4 linked regions of the Nothobranchius furzeri genome follow. The protein of the gene in region 2 purifies or fractionates together with the protein of the main gene of each other region. This does not show direct contact. Links are inferred from orthologs where the notes say so. Each region holds a gene or a part of one and is shown on either strand. Other genes may lie near its edges. The genes, in order: sqstm1, vimentin, xpnpep3 and gan.

Region 1 (8,026 bases), on a different chromosome or scaffold from region 2:
TCCATTCTGGTTTTGGTTCAAAAGATTTCTTCCTGTTCAAGGGCAGTTTTCGTTTCCACTTTTGCCAATAGGGCTTGTAAAAAAAAAGTATTTGTGTCTGGATTTTATTAAAAATCCAACAAAGGAAAAAGAGAAAGGGTATAAGGAATACAAAAATCAATTAACCACAATAGTAAGGAAGCAAAAAATATATATTTTTTTAAATACTATGATGAGCTACTTCTAAAACATAAAAACAATATTAGGGGTACCTGGATGGTGTTAAACACACTAATGGCAAATAATAAGAAGCAGGTATAATGACTAACAATGAAGATAAGAACATTGTAAATGGTTTAAATAATTTTTTTGTGAATGTCCCTAATTTAGCTCAAAAGTTGACAACTATTAAATAATTAATACTAGTATGGTGTTTCTAAGTGGTGTAAGCCCTAGCGATGCTTTACAAGTAGTACACAGATTTAAAAGTAAAAAGTCCTTGGTTTTTCATGGGATAGATATGTTTCTCATTAAGGAAGTCATACACTGCATTGTTCAACCTGTTACTTATATTTGCAATAAATCCTTTTTGAGTGGTATAGTTCCTGAACAAATGGAAATAGCCAGTTTTTCCTATTTGCAAAAGTGGTGATAAGACACTAGCTTGCAACTATAGACCTATACTGCTGCTGTTCTCAAAGGTATTAGAGAAACTTTTTGAAATTCGACTTGGAAGCATTTACCAACAAGTTTGATCTTTTAAATGACCATCAAAGTGGCTTTAGGAAAAATCGTTCAACCTCATTAGCAGTCATGGAATTTGTAGAGCATAATGCAAAAGCAGTTGATCAGAAACTAAATGTAGTGGGTGTTTTAATTGATTTGAGCAAGGCTTTTGATACAATCAACCATACACAACTGCTTAAAAAATGTGAATAATATGGTCTTCGAGAAAAAACAAATCAATGGTTGCAAAGTTTTGTAACTGTCAACAATAGGGATTTGCAACTTGATAAAGTAAAATGTGGTGTGCCGCAAGGCACAATTCTAGGACCAAAATTATTCACGCTTTATTTGAATGACATATTTTCTGCATCGACTCAGTTAAACTTTATCACGTTTGCAGGTGATACAAACTTTCTTTGTACAGGGAAAGACATGAAAGAATTACTGCAAATGGTAGAAAAATAATTTTTTTAATAAAAAAATGGTTTGATCATAATAAGTTATCATTAAATTAAAACAAAATTCAATTTATGATATTTTCAGGAAACGGAGATAATGATGATGCTAAACTATACTTAAATGGTGTTCAAATTGAACGAGTACACATAGCTAAAATTTTAGGGGTGACTGGATAGTAAACTTAGTTGGAAACCACATATTGGATATATCAAATGTCAAGTTTCAAAATCTATTGAAATACTCTACTAATCCATCGACATACTAAACAAAAAGGCTTTGTTTTTGATTTACAGTTCTTTAGTTTTGCCCTTTTATCATACTGTGCTGAGATTTGGGGAAACGCATGGAAAATATGTATATAGTCTATTTGAAGTACAAAAAAAAGCCATTAGAATTATTAACAAAGTAGAATATCTTACACCAACCAACAGTTTTATACTAAATAAAAGTTTAAAATTAAGTGATATTGTAAAAGTTAAAATCTTTGAAATTCTCAATTGAGTAACTAATAACAATATCACAAATAGTATAAAAGATTTTTTTTCTTCAAATTTAGAGATACCTATATAGAGAGATATAATCTTAGAGGTGTATTTAATTTTGAATGTGCTAGAGCAAAACCTAATGCTAATTCAAGATGTGTCTGTTATTGGTGTGAAATTATGAAATGAGTTAAATGATGAGTTGAAGACATGTACTTCTTTACCAATATTTAAAGCATATGTTGGGTATGAAATACTTAAAGAATATGAAAAGGATGTGTAAAATATTAATGTTTTTTTCTCTCTTTTATTCAGCACATACATACCTGCTGTAGGTGGAGAATAGGCCAAAATAAGCATTGCTTCTGCCTATTCCTTTTTTGGTTGTAATTCATGACGTTATCGTGATGTATCTTAGTTGTTTGAAGATCTTCTCTGTAAACATGACAACCAAAATAAAGGATCGATCAATCAATAGCCTGGTGCTGCCCAGGATAGAGAATTGCTTTGGATTGATCCAATCAGCTGGTTTCTATTATAGAAGCAACTTTGACTGATTGGAGATGTAAAACCTTATGGACCTGATTCTGGTGCAAGGTGTTAACTGGTTTAAATAAATATTTGTCTCAATGTCTGTAATTCATTCAGTTACCTGGTTTAAAAGTGGATTCATTTGGCTATTAATCAGTCTCACTGGAAGAACCTCACTCTAGCTCCAGGATGCTGAGAGCACTGATGCATTCTGGGATTGTTTAACTTTGTTTTAAGAACAAAAAGAAATCCAAGCATGCATGTTTATCATTGGACCAAAGCAATAAAAACAAATGATTACAATTAAATAATTGAAATTAAATGTTAAATTAATTTTACCTTAAGGTTGTTGAAACCTGATTATGTAATCAGAGCTCTTTATACAATGTAGTCAGAAAATATTTAGCTAATTCTTCCATTAAAAATCTTTGATTCTATAAATTGTTTTTAGTCAAGCTGACAAAACTGAATAACAGTTTCAAATGCAGTGACTTTCACTACATTGACCTTTAAAGGCTTTAAATGAGAGGTTTGGGTGGTTTTCAGCTTCATCTTGTGATTCTGAGTCAGCAAGTCATATGACTCATGCTGCTGCTGATTGGCTGCAGCGGCTGGGTGACATCACAGATGCAAACAAACATTTGATCAAAACAGAAGCTCATGAGACATTTGAAAAGAGTGATGCAAGGATGACTCAGGTGTTTGAGGAATACTGAGAGTTTGACTTATGTTTTACATTTCATATCCCATCTAATTGTTTACAACTGGACAGCAGAAAATCAGCTTGAATCTGGACTGATTAGAGCAGGATTTGCAGATTGCTTTCGTTTTAGCTGTAGATTAATTCTGTAAAAGTGTGTATGGGTTCTTGACTCTGTTGTAGTAATTACGGACTGGGGTTATCTTCAGCAGATAATTAACAGAAAAAGCATGTCGGGGTTGAAACCAAAGCTCAGTTAAAACACACACAAACATGCATGTTTATGTTTCTCTGCTGGATTTCTAGACCTGCAGTTGCGTTCTCAGCTGGATCCACTCATTTAGGATTTTCATATTTTTTTATTAATAAACTACAAATCAATCACTTTTCTAACAAATAAAACAATGTGCCACGTCACAATGACTAAGCGGCTTTCCCAACTAACACCTGCTCACGTGACTAGTTGGAAAGTCCCTCACCGTGCTGTGTAAAAAGATGTTTCTAGACGGCAATGGTCCCTCATTAGCGGAGCTCAATGAGGACCAATGGGAGGCTGTGTGCGTCTTTACGTCATCTTAAGACGATGACATAGAATGCGGAAGTAAACATAAAAGAGGCTGAAATTTACCGCTGCGTCACAAAGTTCTAGAGTTTGGTTCTCCGTTTGGTTGTTTTTCTGTCTCTGTTCGGAGTTTGGTTCGATTGAGTTCGTAATGTCGGTGACGGTGAAAGCCTACTTGCTGGGAAAGGACGAGCAGGTGAAGGAGATCCGCAGGTTTGCGGTGGACCAGGACGTCTCTTGCAGCTTCGAGTACCTGAGCAGGAAGGTGGCGGCAGCTTTCTCCAACCTGAGCAACTTCAACCTATTCTACAAGGGTGAGGCGCTTATATCAGAGCTGGTTCTGTTTCAACCCAAACACTGACTGGATTTCTGCTGCGTGTCTTTCTGGTTCTGGATTGTTTTTAATATTCTGATGAATGATGTTTGGTGCCACCTGATCTGTGCTTGGACTTGATGTTTGAGTTATGGTGTTTTAGATGAAGATGGAGACCTGGTGGCCTTCTCCTCTGATGATGAGCTGATGATGGGACTGGGTTTTGTCAAGGACGCCACCTTTCGCCTCTTCATTAAAGGTAAACAAGTCGTCTTCCTGTTATTTCTTTGTAAGGTTCCATCTGACTAAAGTTTTGTTGAACTCTTGCAGAAAAGAAGGAGCACCGCCGGGACTTCCCTCTTCATGCATTCCCCCCTTTCGCTTTCGGGCTCCCTCATCAACATGGACCTCCTCATGCCCCACCTCCTCACCCGGGCCCGCCCCCTGCCGTCCATCCCAACGTCACCTGTGACGGCTGTGAGGGCCCTGTGGTCGGAACGCGCTTCAAGTGTTCAGTGTGTCCAGACTACGACCTTTGCTCCACCTGCCAGGCTCGAGGGACCCACACTGAGCACCCTCTGCTGCCCGTGTGGCACCCTCTACAGGTGAGTAACCTGGATGACAGGTGTCAGAGCTCAGGTCACCACTGGCAGGTGTCAGAACAAGTCACATTTCCTGATTAAAATGTGATAAATCGGTGGTTTTCTTAAAATTTTATTTAGCAGTGGTTTCCTCGAGGAAAATGGATGAAAAAGATGAAACACTGCACGTGGAACCAGCACATGGCCCAGGCACAGACCCAAAACCAGGACCAGAACCAGAAGCAGGAGCAAACCATTCCCTCCAGCTCAGCATCTGACTGCAGCACCTCCTCTGGTAGGTGATGTGAACAGATCTGTGTTTATGTACAAACTGGTCATCAGTCAAAAGGAGTCCAACTCAGAGCCATTGTCCAATAACAGAGACTGACCTCTGACCTCTGTAGCTTCTCAGGTCAGCGTGAACTATTTGAAGAACATTGGCGAGGGCGTGGCTGCCATGCTGAGCCCACTAGGTGAGTTGTTTTACCTGGAGATGTTTTTAATGTGCAATAAACAAGAGGGAACTCATCCTAATACGCACACGAGTGTCATTCAGACATTTAAAGTCATTTTAAAGTGCTGTTCTGTCAATTTAGATTCCAAACTACTGTTTCTAGGAATAGGAAGTCCTCTGACCAGAGCATTACTTTTGGCTAGCTGGATCTGTGACATTAGAAGCTAATTTCCAGGATTAGCCAGAAGAAAAACCTCAATGTCCTGCTTTTCCTAATTGGCTGCTCCACTTGGGCAGAGTGAAAACCCAATGGCACACAGGCAGTAGCAGTAGCATAGTATTTCAAACGTTATTAGAATAAAACAAACAGCATAAACTAAAGAAACAATCTCATGTAAAATTGTAGGGCTTTAAAAACTGCTAATATAGCGTGCTAACGCGTCACTATGGGTTGTTTTTAAACACCAGAAACGATGTATTATTTCATTACCAAGCTGACTAGTTAGCCTCTGTTCAGAGGAGCACTTTGTTTCACCTTCGGTGATGTCACCTGCAGGCAGTGTCTGTACTGTAGATATATGACCTATTGACCATCCCTTCAGAAAGATCAGAATATCACATTTAACCGTTTCTATTAAACTTCCTGACAACAGAATCCTGATGAAGTAGGGACTTTATCTGTGCATGTGCAGGTATTGATGTGGACATCGACGTGGAGCATGAGGGGCAAAGGATGAAGGTGACTTCACCTACTCAAGGTGAGGAAGAGCAGGGTGAAGTGCAGATGGATGTGGGAGCTGGCGAAAGTGGAGCCAGCAATGAAGGTGGAGCAAAGCAGGGGCCAAAGGTCAGTCTTCCTCAGACAAAAACTAATAGATCAGTCTAATTAATGACAATTACTGACCAAATACACAAATCTGCAGGTGGGCCGAGATGAAGATGATGAGTGGACTCATCTCAGCTCTAAAGAGGTTGATCCATCTACAGGTGAGCTTCAGTCGCTGGAGGGCCAGGGCTCAGGCCCAAGTCCAAGTCCAGGTCCAGGTCCAGCTCCTCTGTCAGGGACCGAGGAGGGACCCACAGGTCTGCGGGAGGCAGCTCTTTATCCACACCTGCCTCAAGGTGAGTTCAGATTCTGCGGTTCAAGTTTTTTTTTTTTTTTGGTAGTCCTGTCCCTATTAAGCCCCTCCCCTTTGTCCCCCACAGAGGCTGACCCCCGCCTGGTGGAGTCGCTGGCGTCAATGCTCTCGATGGGTTTTACAGATGAAGGCGGCTGGTTGACTCGGCTCCTTCAGGCTAAAAACTTCGAGATTGGAGCTGCACTCGATGCCATCCAGTACGCCAAGCAGTCCCACCCACGCCAGTGACATCATTTGACTACTTTCTGTTTTTAGTCTGACAATTACCTGTCCACACCTAATAACTAATCACTTTTCTGTGTTTACCTTTTATTAAACTTTTGATTTGTTTCTAATCAATAAACGCATTTTAAAAACATGACTCTGAAATGTCTACGAATCGACTCATAACAATCCTAAACGAGCAGCTCAGATGTAAACGGCACAAAACACATTTAAAACTTAAGGAAGTCATCATCACAGCTGAAGTCTTCACCACTCTCAAACATGGAAAGAACAGGAATGTGAGGGCGGGTCGCAGTGATGCTACTGCACAGCTGTGAAGCTATAGCATCAGTCTGACTCTGGCCACAAACAAAAGCCTCGTCTTCCTCATCCTGTCTGTCATCCCTGAGGAAACAATCCCACCTGGAGGCAGTGCTTGGACCAGGAAGGGCTGGAGGCGTTCCTGGTGGACATTCTGGCTGTACAGAGGAATTAAAATTAGAAATATTTTAACTTGTCTCAGCAAAACATCTCACTTGTTACAATAAAGATCAAATCAGAGTAGAGATTGGTCGTGTGACATCACTACGATCTGAAACTGGATATTCATACTTTTTGCAACATTGTTAATCTCAGTGGCCTAGTGGTAAAGTGTCTTCCCTGGGACTGGGAGATCAGGGTAGGGTCATACCATAGACTTTAAAAATGGGACCCTATGCCTCCCTGCTTGACATTCACCTTTAAAGAGATGGACTGGAGGGGTTTACACCACCAGATAGTTCCCGAGCCCAGCCACAGCTGCAGCCTACCACTCCCCACAGGGATAGGTCAAATGTGGTGATGTAATTTCACCAGTGTGTGTGATGACGACTGATAGGACTTTAACTTTACCATAGAAGACAAATTAGCATTTAGTTATTATAGTTTAACGCAGATTCTGGATAATAATAGGGAGTAATAGAGGCCAGTTTAATACCAACCAGAAGAAAAGAAGGACTAAAGTTTGCTCCCAAGGATAAACAACATAGACAAACAAAACTTAGTATAAACACGGAAAACTGTCCAGTAATATCTGATATTTTGACCCAATGGAATCTTTTTGTAGGAGTCATTTTTGTTTAATGATTAATACCCATTTGGTCCGGTTGATGTAATTTTGATAATGGCAATTTAAAAGCTACTAGTCATTAAGACGACAGGTTTGGAAGATAAAATGTGCACCCTTACTGGAACCTTCCGATTACATAAATACTGAATTTAATAAAACTAATAAAATGTATCTTATTGAATGGAATGAGACTAGATTTAAAGTCAACATAGTTGCAGCCCCAGTGCAATAAACATAATCAAAATAAACCTCTGCGTCTGACATGAAGAACCGGCCAAACCACCACCTGAGCCACACAGCTGATCACGCCTGACTAAGGCACTTTTGTGTGTTGGCTGATGGTCAGGTGGTTCTTAAAAGGACAGTACAATGTTATAAGGTCTTGTACAACATAGCAGCAGCAGGTTACCTGTGCAGGTGTGCAGTAGGGTTCTTGTGTTTCATCTGTGCACTCTCCTGATCTTTGCCGTTTCCTGTCACAAGACGAATTTTACAATAATAATTAGAGACCAGACAGGCCGCATCGAGGCCTGTACAACAGAACCAATACAACAACCAGTTCAGACCCACTATAGAACAGTTAAATCAATAACAAACAGGAGGTTTTACTGTTTGATCCAGGCATATCTACTGGTTTTGTGTTTATACACACACAAACAGGCAGGTAAGTGGGCGGGGCCTGAAACACGCTATGCAGTCACCTGTTACTCCTGATGTTGCCATGGAGACTATTCATCACAACCTTGTTCTTGGTCTCATGTTCTCGTGAGTCATCTTCACCAGGTGTG
Region 2 (7,985 bases):
TGAGCATTTAACAAATCCTAGTTTGAATCAGTAAAAAACGATTCAAGGACTTTTTTCGAACCATTTGAATATTCGTTTCAATATTTCAGCCCTATTAGCTCTGTTAGCAATTAGTTGACCGCATTTAACCGTTAAAATCCCAGTTAACTGGTTCAAAAAATTGAAAACATGCATCATGAGAGCTACATACCTTTATCTTTTTTTTCCCCCTGAATCGAACACCTGGTGGTTTTAGCCTTTTTATGTTCATCTCTTCTGTTTGGCTCTTAACTCAGTAAGTTTCCTTTAGTCAGGACTAAACAATTTGACCTTGATGGGGGGGTGACCACAAAATCGTTTTGTTTTTCCTTTTTTTATTCGGCCATTTCACACAATTCAGAGAAACCTGAAAGAATGATAGGCCTGTGTTTATGATATTATGAATGAAATATGGAAGAAAGTTAAGATGTGATTGACTTTAGCCATGTTAATACAGTTGATTCAGCCCCTGCACGCTCATTTCATTTGGGAAAGACGCAGAGGTGAATTCCCCCGCCGCACCCCTCCCCTTCCTGTTCTTCATAGACACACGGTGCACGTGAACGTTCTCAGTCAGCATGAGCGCCTGCAGCTGCAGGGGGCGCCAACTTGCTGTTTCCAATCCAGACACTGTCATATAACCGATAATAGAAAACCTCGGTGCGGCGCAGATTTCCTTTTTTTTTTTTTTTTACTCAGCGCTTGTGCGCCCCTTTTGTGTCATGAAAAAATGCCGCCCCGGGCAACTGCCCTGTCTGCCCGTGCCTAAAACCGCTACTGCTTCACCCTTTTGTGCTGCCTTGGGTCTCTCCAAACGTGGAAGGAATTGGTCCATCCATTTTCTGTCAGCATTTGTTTTTTCATGTCCCTAAAACAAGCTGTTTTCAAGAGTCCATATTTATGATGTCACAAATGGGGAATTTAGGACAGAACCGTCTCTTACATGCAAGAGACAGCTGCTGTTGGAGGAGCATGCTCTGCTGCAGGCTCCTCTGATATATCGGAGCTTCTCAGCTAATAGCAACCTGAGCAGGAGATGGGTGGGCGTGGCCAAGTGCAGCTTGTTGTTTTTAACCGGATGGTCCAATCTTTGGTTTCAGAATGAGCCATGTTATTGGCCAAGGGATTTAGACAAATACGAGAGAACCACCTCATTATTTATTTTTTCGTTTTTTTAATCGCCAAAATAAATTCATAACTATACATGTTAGAATGTTTTAGGCTATTTTGTTTTCCAAATTTTCTCTAGCAACTTTAACAATGTTCTAACATTGCATTAAAATTGAAAAGAACATTTTGAATTCCCGGTGTAAGAGGGTATAATATGTTGCTTTTAAGCTTATTATACTACCTTTACTTATGACCAATAAGATGTGATATTCTATATAAATATAGGATATCAACCTGATTGATCTTTGAATGTTTAATCAGAAGAATTAGGATTCTTTGCCTTTTCAGTGATCATAAACACACTTCGTATTAATTCAGACAGAGTCAAGAAATGTATTTTCTAAACAAATTAAAAATCATGACCTATAAGCAACTTTATGTGATGGATGAATATAAGTGGATGGAATGTGATGTTTGATGATGGAATGGTGTGTGATGTTTATCAGAACCTTGGATCTAGAAGAAACTCAGGCTTGGTTCTGGGTGTGAAAAGAATTTGTTGTTTGTTATAAGCTGAAGAATTGATTCATCAAAACGGCATCAGACAATTCATGCCGTGCCTATGTACCTATTCCTGGAGACCCTGTTTGGATCTGAGATGTCAAAGAGTCATTGATCCCACTGCACATGGCTCGTAGGAAAACTTCGATGCGACCAAGTCAGTCCTAGGATGCCTCCGGGTCGTGAAAAACAGGGGGACTCGTTTGCGTCTAGAACGGTTGGACTCTTAAGGAGTCGGAACTGTCAGCGTTGTTCTGCAGGAACCGTGTGCTGTGTCAGCTGCAGCGTGCAACAGGTGTGACAGCTTGTCAAGAGATGCGGTGGTTAAAGAGTTTTCCTCTGGTGGCCAGTCCGGAGTTCGGCTCAAAACTAATTGAATTACTCAGCAAGTGATTCTGTTTTAACAATTGCCATATTATGATTACATGGCCAACCAGAATTTGACATGTAAAGGGGTTTTACCAACCAACCTCAGATACACACCTCCCTCAGATACAGTAGCTCTGATTTGTGGATCAGAAAGCAATGTGTCATGAGATTACTTTAGTCATATGTATGAGTGTGTGCTTGTCAAGTCACGTACGTTGATTAAATATATGGGTCATATATTTCATTTCATCCTTATTAATCTAAGCACAGATTAAACAAAACATTTCATTTAACCACATTGTTTATTTCATTATGTGATTAATTAACTCATATGAGCTGAAAGTGTTCACTTTTATTCAGAGGCAGGAGGAATCCTGTAGAAGCGATAAGAGAAAGCTTAAGGCCTTGAAACGGGAACAGTTTTGTTTACAATATGTTATCCATGTGTTCAAAGCTGCAGAGGCCTGAACTTCAGCTGATAAAATAGCAGAATTCAGCAGATTAAAGACACTAGATGTAGACTCATGTCTCCATCTGACTGGATACTGAAGAGGTCAAACTGTGGATGAAAAACTGACCATTTCTGGACGTTACAATGGAAAACAAAAGATTTTTGGATATAGAAAATGCGACTGATTTTTAGCGGTCTCTTGTTTACTGTGGCAATGTGGGTTCTGGTATCAAGGGACTTGGCTTGGGGATGATAGCCAAGGGAGGGGTGAGCACTCCGTGACCATGTTTGTGTTTAAATTCTAGTTTGTTTTAGAGATTTGTTATTGCAGGTTTAAAGTGACAGAGCTCTCAAATGGCTCATTCTGGAAGGTACTGAAAATGTAAAGAATAATAGTAATCACTCCTTGTGAGAGAACATTATAAACCTGTTTTGTATTGACCACAGATCTATTATAACTATAAGTTAAAAAGTAATAATATGTCCCTTTATTGAGTTATTTTCCACTTATAAGGTATTTTTCAAAACTTTATTTAAATGTATTGAAATGTTAACCTCACCCACAAAACGCCTGTTAACTTTAATAGATTTTATTTAGAAGCTTAGACTCACCACTTCATATATCAAGTAATTGAGAAAAAGGGAGATTTTTTTTCCATCCAAAAGAGCTTTGTGACCTTTCTCAGTTTTGTTGTGCACCTTAGAAGGCATCTGGCCTCAGAAAGCCAAGTGTGTGTTCTGATCTAGGATTGGAGTCTGGGGGTGTCAGTCAAGTTCTACTTGGCGCTTTTTGCAGGAGGAGGGGGCTATAAATAAGTTCTGGAGAGGGAAACGCCTTTCTAGGGCACCGCTGATGCTGCAGAGGTGAGGTGGACACTCTCAACAGAACCCAGTAAGATGTCCTACAGACCAGCTCCTCATTCTTCCTACAAAAAGATGTTCGGAGGGGACCGAGCCACGGCCCGGACCAGCTACTCCAGCCGCCAGTTCTCCAGCCCGCTGCGCTCCTCTCGGGTCTCCTACGGGCTCTCCTCCGCTCCGACCACCGTTTACGCAATGAAGACGCAGAGGCTCCGGAGCAGCGCGGCCATGCCACGGCTGGCCTCCGAGAACCTGGACTTCTCCCTGTCCGACGCCATCAACAGCGAGTTCATGACGAACCGCACCAACGAGAAGGCGCAGATGCAGTCGCTCAACGACCGCTTCGCCAACTACATCGAGAAGGTGCGCTTCTTGGAGCAGCAGAACAAGATCCTGCTGGCGGAGCTGGAGCAGCTGCGGGGCAAAGGCACGTCCCGGGTCGGGGATCTCTACGAGGACGAGATGCGGGAGCTGCGGCGTCAGGTGGACCAGCTCACCAACGAGAAGGCCCGGGTGGAGGTCCACCGGGACAATCTGGCGGATGACATAGAGAGGCTGAGAGAGAAGTAGGCGTGGCACATGTGGCCATGATTTCCTTATTGTTATTATTCATTTCTGCAGCTGTTCAGATGAGTAAGAAGTAAAATCAAAGAAGACAAAACTGAAAAGAAGAAGCATGGAAGAAAGCTCCTGCTTATGCTAAATATAAAATAACAGCTTTCTCTGTGTTCTCCCCTCCTGCAGGCTGCAGGATGAAATCTCCCAGAGGGAAGAGGCAGAGGCAAACATGCAAAGTTTTAGACAGGTATGAGATAGAATGATGACTTCAGCTAGCTAAAAAATGTTTCTGTTTTGTTGCAAAATTGCTCAGCTTTAATCAATCAATCAATCAATCAATTAATCAATCAATCAATCAATCAATCAATCAATCAATCAATCAATCAATCAATCAATCAATCAATCAATCAATCAATCTTTATTTATATAGCAACTGCCTTTGCAGGAGGCCAATACGCTGAGCATATAATACACTTAAAACATGAAGTGTAAAAGCAGCATAAAAGCATTAAACCAAGTCACATAAAAGCCAAAGGATACAAATTAGTCTTCAAATGACTCTTAAAATCCTGTAATGATGGTTTAATATCAAATGGAAGCTCATTCCAAAAGAAGGAACCAAGACCAAGAAAGCCCGAACTCCTCTAGATCTGTACCTAGTATTTGGGACTGTCATGTGAGGGAGGAGATGGCAGACAATGTGTGGTGGAGAGTTCAGGAGGCAGGAGAGCAGGCACAGATGAAATAAAAATGGATTTAATAGTAAACGGGAGCGACAGGACAAAACGAGCACATGCACATACAATGATCCGACGAAGACTGGTACAAGGAGGGAGATATAAATACACAGGGAAATCAGGAAGAGCAGAGTAATGAGGGACAGGTGAGAACAATAAGGACTAATCAGGGCAGGAGAAAGACACAGTCAGGAAGGCAGGGGCAGAACATGACAGGGACAGTCAGTAGCGTAGAATTTGTGATGGGGTGTCTTTTTATTAGTTCTGCCAAATATGGTGGAGCATCACCATAAAAAGACCAGAAGATATAGCAGAGAACTTTAAACTTTGCCCGAAAATCTACAGGGAGCCAATGTAATGAGGCCAGCACAGGAGTGATGTGTGCCGACTTCCCTGTCAGAAATCTGGCTACAGAGTTGTGAACCAACTGCCCCCAGCTTCTCATAACTTTGACCCAAAATCCCCAAATCGATGACGCAAACCTCCAACTGTGCAGTGGAGTGCATCCCTTTTCTCTTTTAGGTAATCTGTCTAGTTTTGGCTCATGAGCCACAGAGGCAGGAATGCACCGCTCTGATGACACAACAGCAGGTTCCAGACATGATTCCGAACAGTTAAAGAGTGCCCTGGCCTGGCTGGTACAAAAGGCCAAGTTTGCTCTGCTCGATTGGAGTCTGACTGGTCTGATGTGGTTATCAGAGCGAGAAGACGGGCCACCGCGTGATCCGGCTGTCTCGTTCACATAAGAATTTCTCTTGTTATGGTTCTGTTCCCTGTCACTGGTTTTCCAGTTGATAGGTCATGTGAATAGAGTTATATGGCGGTTACTGTACACAAATAGGTCAAAAACATCACTTTGGTGAATAACTTAAACACATAAATACACATTTTGTTGATTTTATGTTTTTTCGGTGCAGATTTGGGCTTAAATCAGGTTGTTGTATGGCAGGAAGGAATTGCATGAGTGGTCTGCCTCCGTGGCAAACAGACAACAATGTTTGGCCAGCAGCCGGCTCCTGCTCAGTCAGGCAGACAGTCACTCTTCCAGCCTTTGGGCATGTTTTGGAACCCCTGCTGAATGGTCCACATTGTTTGTGGCATTAACACATGGGCAAAGCAGCTTCTGTTGCTGATACCTCAATCAACGGCCTGCCAACGCCCCGATGAAGCTGTGCACTGGCACAACAACAGGTTTGTTTCATTATGGGTTCTGTCTTCCAAAACAAAAGCTTCGTGCTTAATTAAGTGGAGGAATGAAATAATGACTAAACATTCCATCACTGTTGGAATTTTTAATTTCATTCAGAGAAACTAGAAGGAAATTTCACAATAAACATAAATTTAGCTTATAAATGGGCTTAAGGACCTTTTTAATTATGTGGTTTGAATGAGACCCTTTACTGAATAAAAAAATTGGAAAATGGAGTCATTGATGTGTTTTTTAGAATAGTTTAATTTTTTAAATGCATTAATTCAACACATTTTTGATTCACTAGAGATATGAATAATAAAATGCTCACATAAGTACGAACGGCATCCTCTAGCATGTGGCTTTGCAGTCACAACACATGACAACATCCACTCTTTAGTGACACACATCATGTGCCTGCAGTTGATTTGTATTGAATGCATGTGTGTTATCTGCTACACAATGGGACATCTGTGTGTGGGGAAACACTTTAAATGCTCTTTACAGCACATGCAAGTGCATTTCTTTAAAAGTCCCTGCCAGCAAATGCATCATGAATAATTCTTGTCACCTTTACAAGTCGCCTTATTAAGAGTCAATGTCGTGGCACAGGATGTGGACAACGCTGCCCTCGCCAGACTGGACCTGGAGCGGAAGGTCGAGTCACTCCAGGATGAGATTAACTTTCTCAAGAAGCTGCATGATGAGGTAAGCTCTCCCCGTTTTCAGCTGAATCGCTGTGCTGCAGGAATGTTGCATGTGCACTGCAGTTTGTGAAAGACACCTTTATGGAGAAAGCCAAGCCAAATCATTTCAGTTATTTCTTAATCCACTTAAACGCCAATTTAGCTGGATTTCGAGCTTTTCCCAGAGCACAGAGGGACATTAAAACAGACTGTTCTGTTCGCCTCGCTGGTTCTGTTGCAGGAAATGCTGGAGCTGCAGAACCAAGTCCAGCAGCAGCAGCACGTGCAGGTTGACATGGAGGTGGCTAAGCCTGACCTGACGGCGGCTCTGAGGGACGTCCGCCTGCAGTATGAAAACCTGGCCTCCAAAAACATACAGGAGTCGGAGGAATGGTACAAATCCAAGGTGATATTTCAAGAAATGATAGAGTAGAATATTTAGTGCATGGCCATTTATTATTTTTATTTAGTAAAAATGTCTGCATAACAAAAACATCCTCAGCCTCAAAACTACAGCATCATGCATGGTCGCCTTTCATGACAAGATCTTGCAAAATTTCCCCACTTCACCCCTCTCACTGCACTTCCTCTCCTTCAGTCTCTGACTCATCATTTATGGAAGAGTCGAATTGTCAGCCATGTCTCCTTTCCCCTCCGTTTGCAACTATGATTTCTAGTTTGCTGACCTGAACGAAGCTGCAGCCCGGAATAATGAAGCTTTGAAACTAGCCAAGCAGGAGGCCAATGACTACAGGCGCCAAGTTCAAGTCCTCACTTGTGAAGTGGATGCCCTGAAAGGAACTGTGAGTGTGCAGTTTTCGTGCATCTGGGACTGGGAGCAATCAAACTGACAACAAATAGTTAAAAGGAGAAGCAGCATATTCATTCACGTTTGGCTGTGGTGACAGAATGAGTCTTTGGAGCGTCAGATGAGAGAGATGGAGGAGAACTTCTCCTTGGAGACCGGCAGGCACCAGGACACCATCAGCGGCCTGGAGATGGACATTCATAACATGAAGGATGAGATGGCCCGGCACCTTCGAGAGTACCAGGACCTTCTAAATGTAAAGATGGCCTTGGACATCGAGATCGCCACCTACAGGAAGCTGCTGGAGGGAGAAGAGAGCCGGTAAATGAGAATTTGCTTTGAGCCTTCATCTGTTTGTTAGTAACCTGTGGAGTGTGTCTTATTTTTGCAGAATCTCCACACCACTGCCAAACTTCTCCTCTCTAAACCTGAGGGGTAAGACAATGACTTGCATGATGATCCTGTAGGAAGAGTTCTGTTATCAGCTTTCATTCTGAACTAATTTTGTTTTCCTCCTTAGATGCATTGACTGAATCCAAATCTCACGTTGAAGCCACAACAACAAAGAAAGTTGTCATCAAGACCATCGAGACCAGGGATGGTCAGGTACTAAAGATGTGATTTAAAGTCTCTAGCT
Region 3 (7,339 bases), on a different chromosome or scaffold from region 2:
CGTTAGGCCCTATTGTGTAATGACTTTTCTGGGGGATGGGAGGAGGGGTATTCATGGATAACAAAGAAACATAAATAGAACTGAAAATATCATATTTATGCTCTTCTCACACCAATGATGGGAAAAAATAAACTTGGTCAACATTATGTGTGTTAATTCTAAACAAAAATAAAAAAGTTTGGGCCACGAGGACTATTGGGCCTCATCTTGAAGTCTGGACATCCCTGAACTAGATCAAAATGACCTTCTGGATAAGAATGCTGTCCACCTGAGTTGAAAATAACATCAGCAGAACTGATCCAAGGTCGTTACCGGGTTGCTTAGTATAAAATTGTTGCTCTTTCTGCTCTGTCTTTAGGCACTCAGCTCTGGTACGACACCCCACAACCCGCTCACCCTCGTCTCCATCAGAATCACATGCTGCCCGTGCTGGAAGCAGGGCCAACTCCACACTCACTCAGACCCCTCGTGCAGTCCCTCAGGGCCCTGAAGAGCTCTGCAGAGGTGTCCCTTATGCAAGAGGCAGGCCGGATAACAGCACAGGTTCATCAATGTTTTCCTGTCCTGCTGTGTAAGCTAATTAGATTCAAGCTTTTGAACTGCAAAATAATCCATCTAAATTTTTTGTCTTTCAGGCTTTTAGAAGAACGATGGCACTGACTCAGGGAGATGTAGATGAAGCTGTGCTGTTTGCCAAGGTAATTAATAAAACTAATGACCTATCTGTGACTCTACATCTTTATTTATGTGAGCTCAGCTAATATTTTAGCTCAAAAATGGATCTTCAGAACTGGAAAAGAAGGGTCTTCTTAATGTGTTGTCCCATGTTTTTATTGAGGAGGTGTGTCTGTATGTGTGGAGGTGTGGGTGTGTGTGCTTGTGTGTGTGTGTGTCGGTGGGTGTTGGTTGTGTGTGTGCACTGTCTTCTCCATCACCAGTGAGTCGTGGTGGATGGCTGCTTACACTGAGCCAGGATCCTCTGGAGGTTTCTTCCTGTTAAAAGAGAGTTTTCCTCTCCACTGTCGCTCCATGCTTGTTTAGTATGAGGATTGGTGTAAAGACTCTGACACTAGTCAGTGATTCGATGCAACCTGCTGGGTTCCTTGTATAGAAAACTTTTTACTGATTGGCTTCATGAACTGACTTGTACTGTAATGTTTACTGTATGTTTACTGCCTTGAGACGACTCAACGACCCACAACTCCCCTCCCCCACAACAACTCTCTTTGCCTGGAAGGGTGTTGAGCTGCTAACACCATCACCATCTGTAACACACACACACACACACACACACACACACACACACACACACACACACACACACACACACACACACACACACACACACACACACACACACACACACACACAACTTACATAGGCAGCTGAGATGGTAGCAAATTCCCGGTCTGAATTATTGCCCCAGTCCATCTCTGACACTCATCCACCAAAGTTTATAGGGACCCTAAATAGTGATGCACCAATATGACATTTTTGGGCCGATGCCGATATCAAGGTCACTGTTATGGCCTATAACCGATATTTGCCGATACAGATATACTGACATTAATGCTTCTAAAATCAGCAGATTTTGTATGAAATGAACATTTTTAAAGCTGAATTTGCATTATTATGTACACACAACTATCAGTCAATCAGTCAATCAATCAATCAGATTTTATTTATAATGCGCTTTTCAAGCCAAGTACTACTCAAAGTGCTTTACAAAATGACCCAAAATTCCCATAACAGTTTAAAAACAGATGCAAAACATATGCACAGTGTCACGGCGTGTGGGCGAGGTGAGGCGAGGATCCACACGCGGGGAGGAAGACAGGCAGACAGGAAGAACGTTTTGTCATAAACTTTAATGAAAAACATGCAATACACTGAAACAATGGACCGACACAAGACACAGAACAGAAAGGGCTTAAATACACAAGGGCAGGGAGCTAAGGTGATTGGGAAATGAGAGGCAGGTGGGAGCAATTAACGAGACACAAGGCTGAACCAAAACGGGGAGACAGGACAGGGTGTGTCACACAGACACAAACACACATCAGTAAAAATTTATATTCGGCTGAGTCCAGATGAGCCAAGTAAGCTAATGCAAGGAAACACCATCCGAGGAGCCGTCAACCCCGGCAGCATCAGGTCTTCCACACTAAGTCAGGGCGTTCAGAGGAGGGGGAGCATGGACCCCACCTCCACTTAAACACTACCTATAGAGCGCCCAGGAAGCAACAGTCAACCACCGCTCCTGGGGCAGAGGGCCCCTACAGAGAAAACACTGGATTAAAATGAGTAAAAATATGAAAATAAAAGACCTAATATAAATGGCAAAAGTAAGAAAATAGATTATAAATAAAATCATATAGACAGTAAAATAATAATATTAAATAATGAAACAATGCTAAAATGTAATCATGTAAAACGAGAAATAAACACACACATTTACACTTCTAAGATGATTACAATCACTGTCACATGACCAAATAAATAAACATCACCCCCCCTCACCCTCTGAAACAAACAAATGGAGACAAGATGGAAAAATTATGGGTTGTTAATATCGGCCCAGTTTTATTTTTCGGACCGATACCGATATGTTAAAAAATGGCTGACATCGGCCGATACCGATATTGATGCCGATATATTGTCCTTCCCTAACCCTAAGTCACGTCCATCTGCTTCTGGACCATGGGTCCCCGGAAGAACGAAAAAATGAATCCAAGTTAATGGGGCTAAAAACACTAATTTCTAATTCTGCTTGTTATTTGCCATGGATAAATATGCATTTCGATACCAAGAATGCACTTATTTTCTGGGGGGGTGGGGGGGTGTTAGGTTTTGTGTGAAAATAAGTCCAGGACTACAAATGAGCATCACAAAAGTGACATCATCGAACCAGACACAGAGAAAAACAGAGGGAAAATGGCTGAAAGTTTTGCTAACTTAAAATCCTTCCTTTCGGAGGAAAATACATCATAAATCTGGCCATTTGGTAAGTAGCAGCTACGCTAGAGGAAAAGAGATTATTTGGTGACGGGTGATGTGCTGATATCTAATTTGTAGTCATGATGATTACGAACATTTACAAGCTGATAAATCTCAAAGTACGTGACTGGCGTAGTCAAAACACCCATCATTAGTTTTCATTTAAATTGCAGTACAACATGTGTGATCCAAGGCATAAGGCAAAGCGAATTAAAAAATTGCTCTTTTAGCCCCGTTGACATGCATTCATTTTTTCGTTTTTCCGGGACCCATGAGCCGACCGGAATGGGAGGAGACCTATAACCACTCAGCTAGCAGCTGGCATTTTGGTTGTACTCTCCACTCTGGCCTGTCCATTGATTCCACATTGGAATGGCGCTGGTTTGAAGTAATCTGTCTGACAACCAACCTTGGCACTGGCAGAGGTTCAACAAGCAGTCTGAAATCACAATCACATTCTGGCTCAGTTTTTTAGAGCTCCTAAAGATAAAATCCAACCATTGCTGCTGATTATTCAAGAAGACTGGACAGGGATACTGTTCCTCTTGCAGACATTTCATTTTTGGGTTCTAGGCATTATTTAAAGTGCAGACTAGATAAGAAAAAAATCACTTCTTCACAACTGCTAACTACAGGGAGAGGCTGGATGTTAGTAATTACAGTCCGGGGATCCAGACTTGACAGACCACTTTGATGGGGAGGAGCAGAACATACTAGTGCACTGCCTGTTGAAGGAATGAAGCAGCTGAGACAGAAAAATGTTTGTGTGAAGCCAAAAACGCTTTAGTGATGTTTCTAATGAGGAAATAACAATATATCGTGGTCAAAAGCTTCAAAAAGTGGATTTTGCAAAATAGTCTCTTTAGATGTTGGAAAACTCAAGTGTGAGTTTGAAAAACAAGATAGTGGTAAAAATATTAGTTTTAAGGAGTTTTTAAATTGTTTATATGGCTTTCAGAATTTATGACCTTAAAATATTTTATTCTTTTTCCAGTTTGATTTTGAGAATCGAATTCACGGTGCCAACTTCCTGGCATATCCTCCTGTGGTAGCTGGAGGGAATCGGGCTAACACCCTGCACTATATAAATAACAACCAGATTATCAAGGTAAATAACACATGCAAGAAGTCATAAATCGAGTATTTTAAAATATTAATCCTACATTTTTGCTCCTTGTTGTAGGATGGTGAAATGGTTCTGCTTGATGGTGGCTGTGAGTACTTTGGTTACGTCAGTGACATCACTCGAACTTGGCCAGTAAATGGACGGTAAATTGGATGTTGAACTTGTCAAAGGACCAAAAATGTTGATACAAATAAAATGCATACATTTAGTAGCTACTTGGCGGCAAAAGTAGCAGTTGATGTTTGAACTTTACATGCAAACAGTATAAAGCCGTGTTTTACAAGTCCTGCAAACAAGAGCTGCTCAATGTTACATTTAAGCACTGACATTGCAATGTACAAGTGCATAACTGCCACGTCATAGGTCCAGTTGCGGTGTCGGAGGCATGTGAATTAAACGAGGTGACATCTAATCTAATCTAAACATGACATGGTTTGGGGAATGCGTTTAACCCAAGACATGCAGAATCACACACTCACAGATCTTATGGTAAAAAAATAATCTTTATTTTAAAACGGGAACTGAAGGTAAACTGGAAAAGCCCAGTGGAGATTGAGAACGGGAGTGCAGCGTCTGAGGACGGGAGAGCAGATGCAGGTGAGTCCAGGAAGGTAAGTCTAAATTTGGTGGGTGCAGAGAATAGACTTACTTGGGAGTAGGGGAGCGTAGGAATGAAGGAGGGCAGGTTGGGTGCCGGGGTGAATCCAAGTGGGGTGTCCAGGAGAGGGACCGAGAGGAGAGCAGGAGAGCGGGCCAGCCGGGAGGAATGGAGAACGGTGAGAGCTGCATCCGGAAATCTTATGGGGCACAGGTGAGTAATCCCGAGGAGTCACAGAAATCCAAAGACGTAATCCAGAGAAGTCGCAGAAGTCCAAAAACTTTCCAAAACCTGGTAACGGGTAAGCACAGGGAAAAGATCCAAAGGTTCACAAAAAAATCCTAGAAACACTAGAGCACAAAATCCAAGAGTCGCAAGAGGGCAGGAAACTACCAAGCTGTAGTAATCATCCGGCGTTGAATCATCTTCTTCTTCTTCTTTTGGTGTTTTATTGGCGGTTGGCAAACAACTCCGGCGTCGAATCATGATCACCATCCTTCTTTTAAAGCCGACCCGCTCATCACGCTGATCAGGATCAGCTGTTGCTCCCTCTTCTGCAATCAGAACACTCAGAGATGGTGAATGATGTGAAGAGTACTCACCCCGGCTCATGACAACAGTGTGGTCAAAGTACACCCACATCACCTCGCTTCTCCTCCAGATTCACTGGCTGCCAGTCAATTTCAGGGTTCATTTCAATATCCTGGTTCTGGTCTTGAGGGCCTTACATGGACAAGCACCATCATACACTGGTGATCTTCTCAGTCCCTACACCCCCAGCAGGTCCCTGAGTTCAAGTGACAAAAGCCTACTGGTTGTGCAGCGCCAGGCTAAAGACCAAAGATGACAGATCATTTGCTGCTGTGGCCTCCAGACTCTGGAACTCTCTCCCCTTGAGCCTGAGATCAGTGGACTCCTTCAAAAAGCAGCTGAAAACTCACCTGTTCAAGCTGGTTTTTGTGTGACCTTCATCACCACCCTCTCTTCGTTCAGCTCAGAACAGAAGAAAAACATGTTAAACTACTTCTTAAATGAAATATCTGTAGCGTCATGAATGTCCTGTTTTTGACCTAAAGGTCATGATCTGCGTCTGCTCGAGCAGAGACATAAAGTCTGACAGCCTAATCTACATGAGATAGTGGCCAAGGTCTTTCATGCACTCTGCTCATCTGAACTGCTTCACCTCTGTTACAGCTCAAGACAAAGAACTCTTTTGATTAATACATAATCAACAACTTTGTTATTACCAATAATAATGTGAGCCCAATGTTCAATCTGTGAAATGACAATGTTAGTACTTGATATTATAATCCTGTGATCAGTAGTATTTTACAAGTTATTATAATCCTGGACATTTGCACTAGACACTGATGACACGTAATGCTAAAGCCACACGACACATTTCCTTTTGTCTGATCCAATCAGAACCTTTGTTTATGGCTAGGCATGGTTATCTGTGGTGTTTGTATAAAGCCTCTTTTACATGTCAAATTCTGATTCGCCAGTAAACCAAAATATGACAATTATAAAAACTATTCCACACAACCTTTTCTTTAGTTCAAGTGTTCTGGAGAAGTCTCGGACAGGCCATCCGGACTTCCTCTTCAGCCAAAAAGAACCTCGGCAAGCTGGATAAAATCTGTTGCAAGTTACACCTGACCGCAACGGTTCCTTCAGAATAAAAGCTGAACCTCACGACCCCTTCAGGGTCTCGGAGACGCCAGTGATAACCTGTCGTGACCTGGAAGCATTCCAAGACTAGTTTGGTTGGCACCGCTGCTTTTCTACCGGCTTCGGTTCCAAGGAGGGTCCAAGAGGACCTCGGCATTCTGGATCTAACGGAGGCTTCCCCTGGGCTACGTAGACCGACAGATGGCGTTTCATGTGTGTTATAAATCTCCTACTAAAGTTTAGAGCGAAACATTCACTCCCACTCAGAACTAACCGCTTCTCCGGATCCGCTGGTTCTGATAACAACATTCCACACACATACACCATCCTCTCACATCTCATTCCACCTTAGTCCATCAGTACACCGAGTGTTAAAGTTAGTCTTGTTTAAATTGTGTAGAAATAAATTTCTTAACTATTATAAACCTGACTCTCTCTCTTTCCTTGGAGTTAATACGAAGTGTCGCTTAATCCCTGCAATAAAAAGTTCTGGTCTTCTGGTTAAAATATTCAAAGATCCATCAGATTGATATTTCATATTTCTATGGAATCTCACATTTTATGGTTCATAAGTAAGATGTAAACTACCCATCCTTTACATATCCATAGCACGGCTCTGGCGAGAATATGATGACATAAGTAGAAGGATGCTGAGGTTGGAGTCACCAGCAATGAGGCGGAGAGGAGGACCAAAAAGGAGATTTATTGGTCTGGTGAAAGGGGACAAGAAGTATGAGGGTAGAGGACGCAGAAGATGAGACTAAATTAAGACAGATTATTGGCTGTGGAGATCATTTTGAAGTGACTCTGCAGCAGCGTGCCTGCCAGTGGGTGTAATGTGACGTGGAACAACACTGTGCTGCTATCAGATGCACCTGCTTCGCCAAAAAATAAATAAAATAATCCTGATTAATCTGTTGACTTTCTGAAGCTCTTCAAGTCAGAGT
Region 4 (7,858 bases), on a different chromosome or scaffold from region 2:
TAAAATATTATAAATGCAGGTTTGGTTTCTGGACGAGTTTCTCTGTCAAATGTTGAAAACCTGAGACGGTGAGGTTCTGGGTGAACGGACCAGTTTCCCCTTTATGGATCAGAACCAACCGTCGGTGGCTGAAAGACCAGTTTGCTTTGACAGCCTGCTTCAGGGGTAACTGAGGAGAACTTAGGTCCAAATTTACATTTGCTTTGCGGCTAAACAGGCGGAGGAGGAGGAGGAGGAGGAGGAGGAGGTAGAAAGCAGAACTTGAACAAAGTGATGAAGGTTAAAGTGAAACTGGATGAAATTTCATTTTAGCAGGACACGAAAAATCCAGTTTTTAATAAAAAACCTGAGCAGGTGAGTGAGTCCGACCTGTGAGGAGACGTTTTAGTGACACCTATTGGTCAAAAATAAAAACATTCAAACAAATCTTAATAGTTTTTTTCCTTTCGTGCTGTTTTGCGTTGCTGTTAAGGTAAATTTGAATTAGAGATTTCCGTGCATTTCCAAGTGCAGACTAAAAGAGTTTTCTGTATTTTCCTCTTGCATGTTTGCATATATGCATGCACTTACGTCATAAGCAGGAAGCATTTCAGTTCTACTTGTAACTGAAGAGTAACTGAAGTGGTGTACCTGCAGCATCGGCGGTACCGGGCTCCAGGAGTTGGAGTCCGGGTCGTATTTCTCTCCACTATCCAGGACCGTGTTGTTTTCATTGGTTCCTCCCAACACAAACAGAAACCCCTCTGAGAGACACAAGAAGATCCTGTTAATCACCGATCTAATGCTTCTGGTTAACGGACATTCTGAAGGATTTCTGTGAACCGACCGGCAGCGACGACTCCGTGGCCGAGACGGGCGACGCTCATGGGCTGCAGCTCGATCCAGCCCTGCCTGTTTGTATCGTAGAGCGGACACATGCAGCGCATCGCAGCTGTCAGCTTCTTGGTTCTGTGAAGAATGAAACCATCAGACCAGCTGGAACACGGTGGCTTCCCTTCCTCTTGTGATCTGTTAAGGTGGACCAAAAGTTCTAAAGACTTAAAAACTATTTGTTTTGAGTTCTTCAGCTGAATCTGAGAAACCCCAAAGGTAACACAGACGGGCTTAAAACAGGGTTTTAACTTCCAGAGAGCTGAGGAAGATTTCAGAGCCAGGAGAAAATGGGTCGGCCTACCGTCGATCCTCTCCTCCAGCGACGACGATGCACTCGGAGTAACCTCTGGGTTTGAAGGCGGCGATCATGGCCTCGCCCTGCAGCGGCGCCTCCGTCAGGTTCTTCTGACAGAACTCTCGGATCACCTCCCTCATCAAAGGCTCTGCCGTGGACTGAAGATGTAGCACCAGAGGACAAATCAAACCTAAAACCGAGGTGAGTCTAACATCCTGACATTCCGTTCAGTTCACTCAAAGAAAAAGAACTGGACAATATTAGGAGTTGAAGAAAAACAACATTTGAAACATTTTTTTATTCCAGTTTCTGAGTCGATTTTAAAGTTTGAGCTGCTGGTTTTTACATCAAAAGAGTTTTGTGATCATGAGAAATCTAACAAAATGAAAAAAAATATATATATATATAAACTAAAATAATTGAGGAAAAAAAGCCCTGGTGACTGCTGACTGCACAGCCAGACTGCAGCTCTCACATACAAGCAGGAGTTTATTCCTGACTGGTATTTTATTTGTTTGTTGGCATGAGTAACATGCTCCAGACGTCACGTGACTCTCAGAGAGTAGACGCCATGTTGGCAGGCAATAAAGGTAAACAAAATGAACGGGATCGACTTGGATTTTACTTCGTCTGAGTTTACTTCACACTGTAAAACCGAAGAAATCGTTTTATATAGCCAGAAATTAAATAGACTAAACATCTCCGACCCTTACCGTGCCCCTGGGATACTTTTTAAAAACGCCAGAAGCTGTCGGAGCGGACTTCTTACCGGACCTGGCCGGGGAACGCCCTGGGATTCCCCCGGAGGAGCTGGGCCCAAGTGGCTGGGGAGAGGGAAGTCTGGGCCTCTCGACGCTACTGCCACCGTGACCCGACTCCGGATAAGCGGATGAAAATGGATGGATGGATGGACAAATAATTACATGTAACTTAAGTAGTTTAAACAGAGTGCTGTGCTGTTTGAATGTATAAACTGAACGCCAAGAGAAATCACTAGTTTGATTTTTTTCCGTGAATAAAATAAATATGTCAGGCAGGAGCGTCTCAGGATCTGTCTGAGATCTGACTCGGTGAGACAGATAACAGCAATCCAAAGTGCTTTTTATGTGTGATCTGACAATTGATCAACCATTGCTTAAAAATTAAATACAGCTTAGCCGGTTAATTGCTGTGATCATAAAACACGTAAACGGCAGCACGCAGAAACACGAGGCAATGTTTTACGTGACGTTTACTTGTTGCTATGAGTAATAAGACAGAAAAAGCCCCGCCATAATACGTTTAGGAAGCCCACTAAGTATAGTAATAAAAGCATTTAAAATAATTACCACACACAGTTGAGGAAACGTTGGTTTAAGTACCTGATATGAAGCGGTCGCTGCATAAGCGAAAACCTTTACTCTCAGGATCCCACAGCTTCATTTAAGCCCGGTCACTAGCGCGTTTTATTACAATGATCCAACGTTTGCGGCGCTCCGGATCTTGGGGAATCCTGTAGATGGCTCATTCCTTATGTCGTCCCCTAACCCTAACCCTATCATTAATGTAAAAAAGAAACTCTAAATGAACTCTGTTCACATCCAGAATCGAACACAGGACTTCTGCATGAGAGTCAGACATCTTACAAGGTGAGCTACACTCTAGTAACATTCACAGTATCTGTAACTTTTATATCCTTGATGACAGCTGAAACAACGTCAAACCAAAGAACGGTTCGGAGTGAAAATGGCTATTTTGTTGCTAATTTGCAGGAAATATCTAGAAGAAAGTTCTACAGAAAGTAGCTAAGGGTCCTCAGAAATGTAGCTAGCTTTGTCACTAGGCGTTAGGAACAGCGACAAAGTGGCACTGCCTCTCTCTCTGCTGCTAAAGCTACGGATAGCAAATGCTACGGGCGATGCCTGAGCGTGAACGCGCATGAAGCAGCCTGCTCGACCCGAGCATCTCTCTTTTTCTGTGATTTTACAGAAAAACAGGCAATCACAGTAAAAATGCCAGGGCTCATTCTACAGGACCAGGGCATTGCAGGAGAATGTATGAAGAAGACATTTATTATTTCTATACATGTTTTGGCTGTCAAACTTCCATAATGCCCCTTTAAATAACAAATTAAATTATTCTGGAAGGAAGAATATTAAAATCTATAAATGGTCCTGAGAGATGGAAGTCTTTTCTGTTCCCAGAGCCTAAAACGTGCATTTCCAGTTACTCTACCTGCTCTCTCAGGTAACTCAGGTCCAAACCCTGCAGCCATACTGCTGACATCACCTCCTTCATGTGGACCTGATGTAGAAGAAGCTTTCATGAACCAAACACCAACAGTCATTACAAAACTACAAAAAATAGAAAAATCCTGTTGTTTGACTCAGTTTGTGTTTCCCTACGGTTTTTGTTTTGTTATAATCTCCGTTTCCGGCCTCCACATTGAGCCTTACCCACCCTGCGGTCGTCGGGGTCATGAGCGAACCATCGCACCACAGCCTCCAGTAGGTACTTCTCGTTCCCCACATTGAGCTTCTCCATGGCTAGCAGCTCACAGAGCCGATCATGGGGCAGCTCCCTGAACTCCTCAGTGAGAGCCACATCACGAAAGTGCGTCTGCAGAAACTCAGTGGCGACGTAGTGGACGTGATGGAGACAGTAACACAGGGAGAAGAGCCGGATGCCGATGCAGTTCTCTGCAGTTATGCAGCTCTCCAGGAACTGACAGCAGAGCAGCTTAAGGTCTGTCATGAGGAGCAGGTCTGACGCCTGCACCATGTCCTGGATGGTTTCTTCACTCAGGCTGATCTGTGGGAATAAGAGTCAAATATAAAATCTACATGTCATCCTGATCTGTAACTTTTTAATAAATAGTAAACAAAAGTAAATTCTTTAGGATTTAAGCAGCTGCTTTCTTTCGATGTGTCAAATCCTAAAATAGAGCTTTAACGGATTACAGTAAGAACAACGTGCCCAGACTCACTTCTCCGCTAAAGATGTAGTCCAGGATCTGCTTCATGATGACCATGGAGACTCCCTGCAGCTCGATCCTGTAAGTGGACCCATCTTCTTTGGGAGGATTGTAGTTCAGTTTAGTCCTAACACCAGAACATGGCAGAACATAAACGGCGGGATCCTTCCTGTGAGCAGCCACACCCAAATAGCAAATGCAAAGCCACACGTGTGCAGGTATGACTCACCTGACATATGGGCTGGCAGCAGCCAGGATGTTTTTCTGAACTGGAAGCTCTTCTCCATCGACAACCAGCAGAGCATCGTGAAAGCTTTGCTCCTGCCAGAAAGTACGAAGAACTCTGAGCAGCTTTTGGGAGTGCTGTGGATCCGAAACCCGCGAACCGGGTTCGCTGGACGTGGAGTTGGGCATGTCGTTAATCTGGACTGCCTACGCACTGTTTACTCCTGCAATCAGAGCACGACGAGCTATATTAGAAGAAATATTTATTACCTTTTTGCTTGTCAATTTAAACACTCCCGAAGAGTGTAAATTTTCACGACGATTCATCAAAGATACAATCTGTTGATCAACAAACGTTTATTAAACTGTAACTAGCTGAAAACTCTTAAACTGGCACATTTCTAAATGAGATTTGGCAAATCAAGCTAGGCTAGTAGCAAAATAGAACCTAAATGTAAACAAACGGCTAATGTGAAAAGACATCGTTTCAAACTCTACGTTGTGTGTTTTATTTTTAATACTTATTAAAAACGTCTTACCTTTAGGTTACTGAAAGCTTTGGGTGTTTCTGGCACAGGGAGTGCCGAACTCCACTCACAACACCATGAGAAAGGGTGGACATGTGTGGTGCTGCATTCAAGGCCATGGGACAAAACAAAACAAGTACGTAAACAGATGGAAAAAAATCATATATAAATTAATAAATAAATTTTCTATTTAAGATTAGAGCTAAGGTATTTAACACATATATGTTGTTGGTATGATAAAGTTGCAAATATATGGAAATATGAAGTATCATCTTTTCACTCCGTGAAACAATTAAGTGTGCTAGGTTTGTCAAGGATACATGAACGTTTCAGAAATTAGGCGGAAATGATGCGTAATCGTCTAAAAGCGACACTTTTAAATAGAATTTTATTGAACAAAAAAAAGTTGTACAAGTAAATCTAAAGCAACCCCTTTTAAGAAACTTTCAACGTTACTTTCAATATAAGTTATTCTATAAACAAAATGTTAATGCCTGTCATAACATACGCGTTCAATGTCCCCTGAATCTAGAAAAAAATGGTTTAATAGGTTTAATGAGATTCTACCCAACGTTAGTAAAAGCTTTATGTAAACGTTTTGATTTTCTATATTTTCTAAACACATACATATATTTTAAAAATACAGAGCACACAAGGAGTATACAATCAGATTTATTTTCTATATTTTCTTTTATTCTTGGCAAAGATCTAATCTGAAGCTAACGTTCGTGTCGTTAAAAGGGGAATTATTAAATGATGATGATGATGATGATGATGATGATGATGATGATTTGACACAGAGACGTTCACTTCTCCCAGGATGCGTTTACAATGTTGTAAAATATCTAATTGCAGAAGTTGAACCAAGGCTTTTTTTTCCAGAAAACCTCTGTTGAATTGGACCTGGTTTTTGTTTGCTTCGTTCTTATTTAAATATATATCATTATGTACTTATTTTAGTACCTCTTTGTATTTATTTTAGTTTAGTTTGTTGTGGTGGAACCATTCAGCGCTGGGACTGTTTCCTGGCGGAAGTTAAAAGCCGCGTACACAGAAACTTTTGTTGTTCTCGTATATGATGTCTGTGGTTTTTCCTTCTCGGACTGCATTTTTGTTGTAAGCTAAACCCCCGAAAGTTCGAACATGTATCGGCTCCGACACAAGCCGATGCAACCGTGGATAGAAGGCCTGGTTCTGAACTACAGCGACCGGGAAGGCGAGGAGGCGGGAGCCCCGGACGGAGACCGAACACCGGGAAGGAAACGCTGGCTGAAGGCGTATGTCCTCGAGGTCAGTCATCTGCCTGAATCCAAGCTTCGGGCCTTCGAGGGCCCCAATGTTGTGCTCTTTCTGTCCGACGGGCAGGTGAAGATACCGGCCGTGCTTACCGCCTCCGCCTGGGCGCGGATCCAGGAGGAGGAGGGTCGGGAGAACTTAAACAACTTCCTAAACGCCACGGTGCACCTTCAGGTCGAGCGGCTGCAGTTTGACGTGACTCCCGATAAGTTCACCTCCAGGTTCTACTTGGTGCTGAGCGGTCTGAGTACAGTAGAGGCCGGCCTGGTTAGACAGCACACGCCCTGCTACACCTCCCTGCCCTCCATCAGAATGAAGATCGATCAGACCTGGAGCGCCCGGCAGCGAGCTCAGGACTCCCAGAGGAGCCACGACGAACCCGACTTGTCCCAGCTGCTGTGGCAGGAAGAGTGGCTGCGGAGCAGCGTGAATGATGTCGTGGAGAGGATGACCACACACACGACTCCACAACCTTCCGCTTCTGCTTACCACTCATCTATAACCGGACCTGCCACCAGCTGGGACCAGGACCGGGTCAGGTACCAGGCAGAGACTCCTTTCACTGTCCCAGTGAGGTTTCTTCTCATCCCTCAGCATTTAGAGACGGGGACAGATGCTGGACTCAGGACGCACACAGGGACAGAGCTGGCAGCTCATAATGATGCAACCGGGCAGATTCCAGAACCGGCTGGTGTGGAATCGGTCCGTGATGCAGAAGAGAGCTCAGCTGTTCTGACAGAGGACGACTTCCCACAGGAGGAAGTAACTCGAAGGCCTACATCCAACCCCTGGGACATCTACCCTCCTCCGTGCATCAGCTCTGAATCTTCTCCAGAACCTACACCGACCCTCTCCGGTACCACATCTGGACCTGATTCTGCTACCATGGTAACCAGCTCACCTTATGTTCAGATCTCCCTCCCTCCCTACCAAAAACAGCAGAACAGCAGCATCCTGCCCACTAACTCAGCTGAGAAGAGTTTACCAGAACCTCCTGCCTCAGACACCACCCAGAACACCAGGACTCATCAGAACCTTCAAGCTTTGGACAGAGACTATCAGGACAGGGCTCAGGTCGACACCAGGAACCTGAAGAGGAAGCGACACGATGTCCCACTACAGAGGGTGGAGGAGGAAGAGTTCAGCCACAGCCCGCCATCTTGGCTCTTTGAGACCCAACCAGAACCCGCCAGAACCAAAGAGGGGAGTGGTCCAAAACAAAGAGCTGTGAGAACAACCTCCTCTGTTCACATCGATGGCAAAAGGTTCTCATACACCTACAGTGTGACCGGACAGAACCTGCAGGACTTCAGTCGGTTCAGAGTGGCTGCGTCTGTTCTGCACTGGGCTGTGAAGTACCTTTTAACTCCGAAACCAGCAGAACCTCCTCCAAACATCAGCTGATGGTACCACAGCGACGTTTCCTTTGGTTCAGAGACTCTTAAGCTTCTCTAGGTCAAGTGTGGATTTTTCATTCTACTGTCATCTGGGTCCAATTCAAACAGAAGCTAAAGTGTTCCGCTGGTGCTGTTTTATAAAACCCGATGCTGAAGTCAGGATTGATGAGGCCGGGTTCGGAGGCTTCGCAGGTTGTCTGGGTTTTTGTTAATGTTGAGAAAAAGACTCTAGAGCTTTTATCTCTGTGTCACGCGGTTCTGTCGGGACGTCGTGTTTCTGTTTCAGAGTTCG

The links.
Region 1: the proteins of vimentin (region 2) and sqstm1 purify together in Homo sapiens (affinity purification with western blotting; 3 studies listed by BioGRID and IntAct, with this or other methods). This does not show direct contact. The link is inferred for Nothobranchius furzeri from reciprocal best matches to the Homo sapiens genes VIM and SQSTM1.
Region 3: the proteins of vimentin (region 2) and xpnpep3 purify together in Homo sapiens (affinity purification with mass spectrometry; 3 studies listed by BioGRID and IntAct, with this or other methods). This does not show direct contact. The link is inferred for Nothobranchius furzeri from reciprocal best matches to the Homo sapiens genes VIM and XPNPEP3.
Region 4: the proteins of vimentin (region 2) and gan purify together in Homo sapiens (affinity purification with mass spectrometry; 3 studies listed by BioGRID and IntAct, counting the BioPlex papers as one, with this or other methods). This does not show direct contact. The link is inferred for Nothobranchius furzeri from reciprocal best matches to the Homo sapiens genes VIM and GAN.

The regions. Positions count from the first base shown.
Region 1 is NC_091741.1:64,351,375-64,359,400, forward strand, and holds sqstm1 (sequestosome-1), read left to right. Parts: upstream 1-3,359; 5' UTR 3,360-3,590; coding exon 3,591-3,753; intron 3,754-3,915; coding exon 3,916-4,011; intron 4,012-4,082; coding exon 4,083-4,357; intron 4,358-4,474; coding exon 4,475-4,628; intron 4,629-4,737; coding exon 4,738-4,806; intron 4,807-5,479; coding exon 5,480-5,634; intron 5,635-5,710; coding exon 5,711-5,909; intron 5,910-5,993; coding exon 5,994-6,154; 3' UTR 6,155-6,287; downstream 6,288-8,026. Other genes in the region: mrnip (MRN complex-interacting protein), read right to left, coding at 6,361-6,609, 7,648-7,711, 7,940-8,026. UniProt on the Homo sapiens protein: Molecular adapter required for selective macroautophagy (aggrephagy) by acting as a bridge between polyubiquitinated proteins and autophagosomes.
Region 2 is NC_091751.1:47,675,046-47,683,030, forward strand, and holds the start of vimentin, read left to right. Parts: upstream 1-3,258; 5' UTR 3,259-3,406; coding exon 3,407-3,936; intron 3,937-4,114; coding exon 4,115-4,175; intron 4,176-6,466; coding exon 6,467-6,562; intron 6,563-6,781; coding exon 6,782-6,946; intron 6,947-7,217; coding exon 7,218-7,343; intron 7,344-7,448; coding exon 7,449-7,669; intron 7,670-7,739; coding exon 7,740-7,783; intron 7,784-7,868; coding exon 7,869-7,954; intron 7,955-7,985. UniProt on the Homo sapiens protein: Vimentins are class-III intermediate filaments found in various non-epithelial cells, especially mesenchymal cells. Vimentin is attached to the nucleus, endoplasmic reticulum, and mitochondria, either laterally or terminally.
Region 3 is NC_091752.1:65,764,475-65,771,813, reverse strand, and holds part of xpnpep3 (xaa-Pro aminopeptidase 3), read left to right. Parts: intron 1-358; coding exon 359-543; intron 544-635; coding exon 636-698; intron 699-3,991; coding exon 3,992-4,105; intron 4,106-4,180; coding exon 4,181-4,266; intron 4,267-7,339. UniProt on the Homo sapiens protein: Catalyzes the removal of a penultimate prolyl residue from the N-termini of peptides, such as Leu-Pro-Ala. Also shows low activity towards peptides with Ala or Ser at the P1 position.
Region 4 is NC_091744.1:82,305,035-82,312,892, reverse strand, and holds the start of gan (gigaxonin), read right to left. Parts: upstream 4,998-7,858; 5' UTR 4,886-4,997; intron 4,571-4,885; 5' UTR 4,536-4,570; coding exon 4,351-4,535; intron 4,249-4,350; coding exon 4,134-4,248; intron 3,959-4,133; coding exon 3,608-3,958; intron 3,452-3,607; coding exon 3,383-3,451; intron 1,327-3,382; coding exon 1,175-1,326; intron 949-1,174; coding exon 827-948; intron 744-826; coding exon 631-743; intron 1-630. Other genes in the region: acd (adrenocortical dysplasia protein homolog), read left to right, coding at 6,017-7,573. UniProt on the Homo sapiens protein: Probable cytoskeletal component that directly or indirectly plays an important role in neurofilament architecture.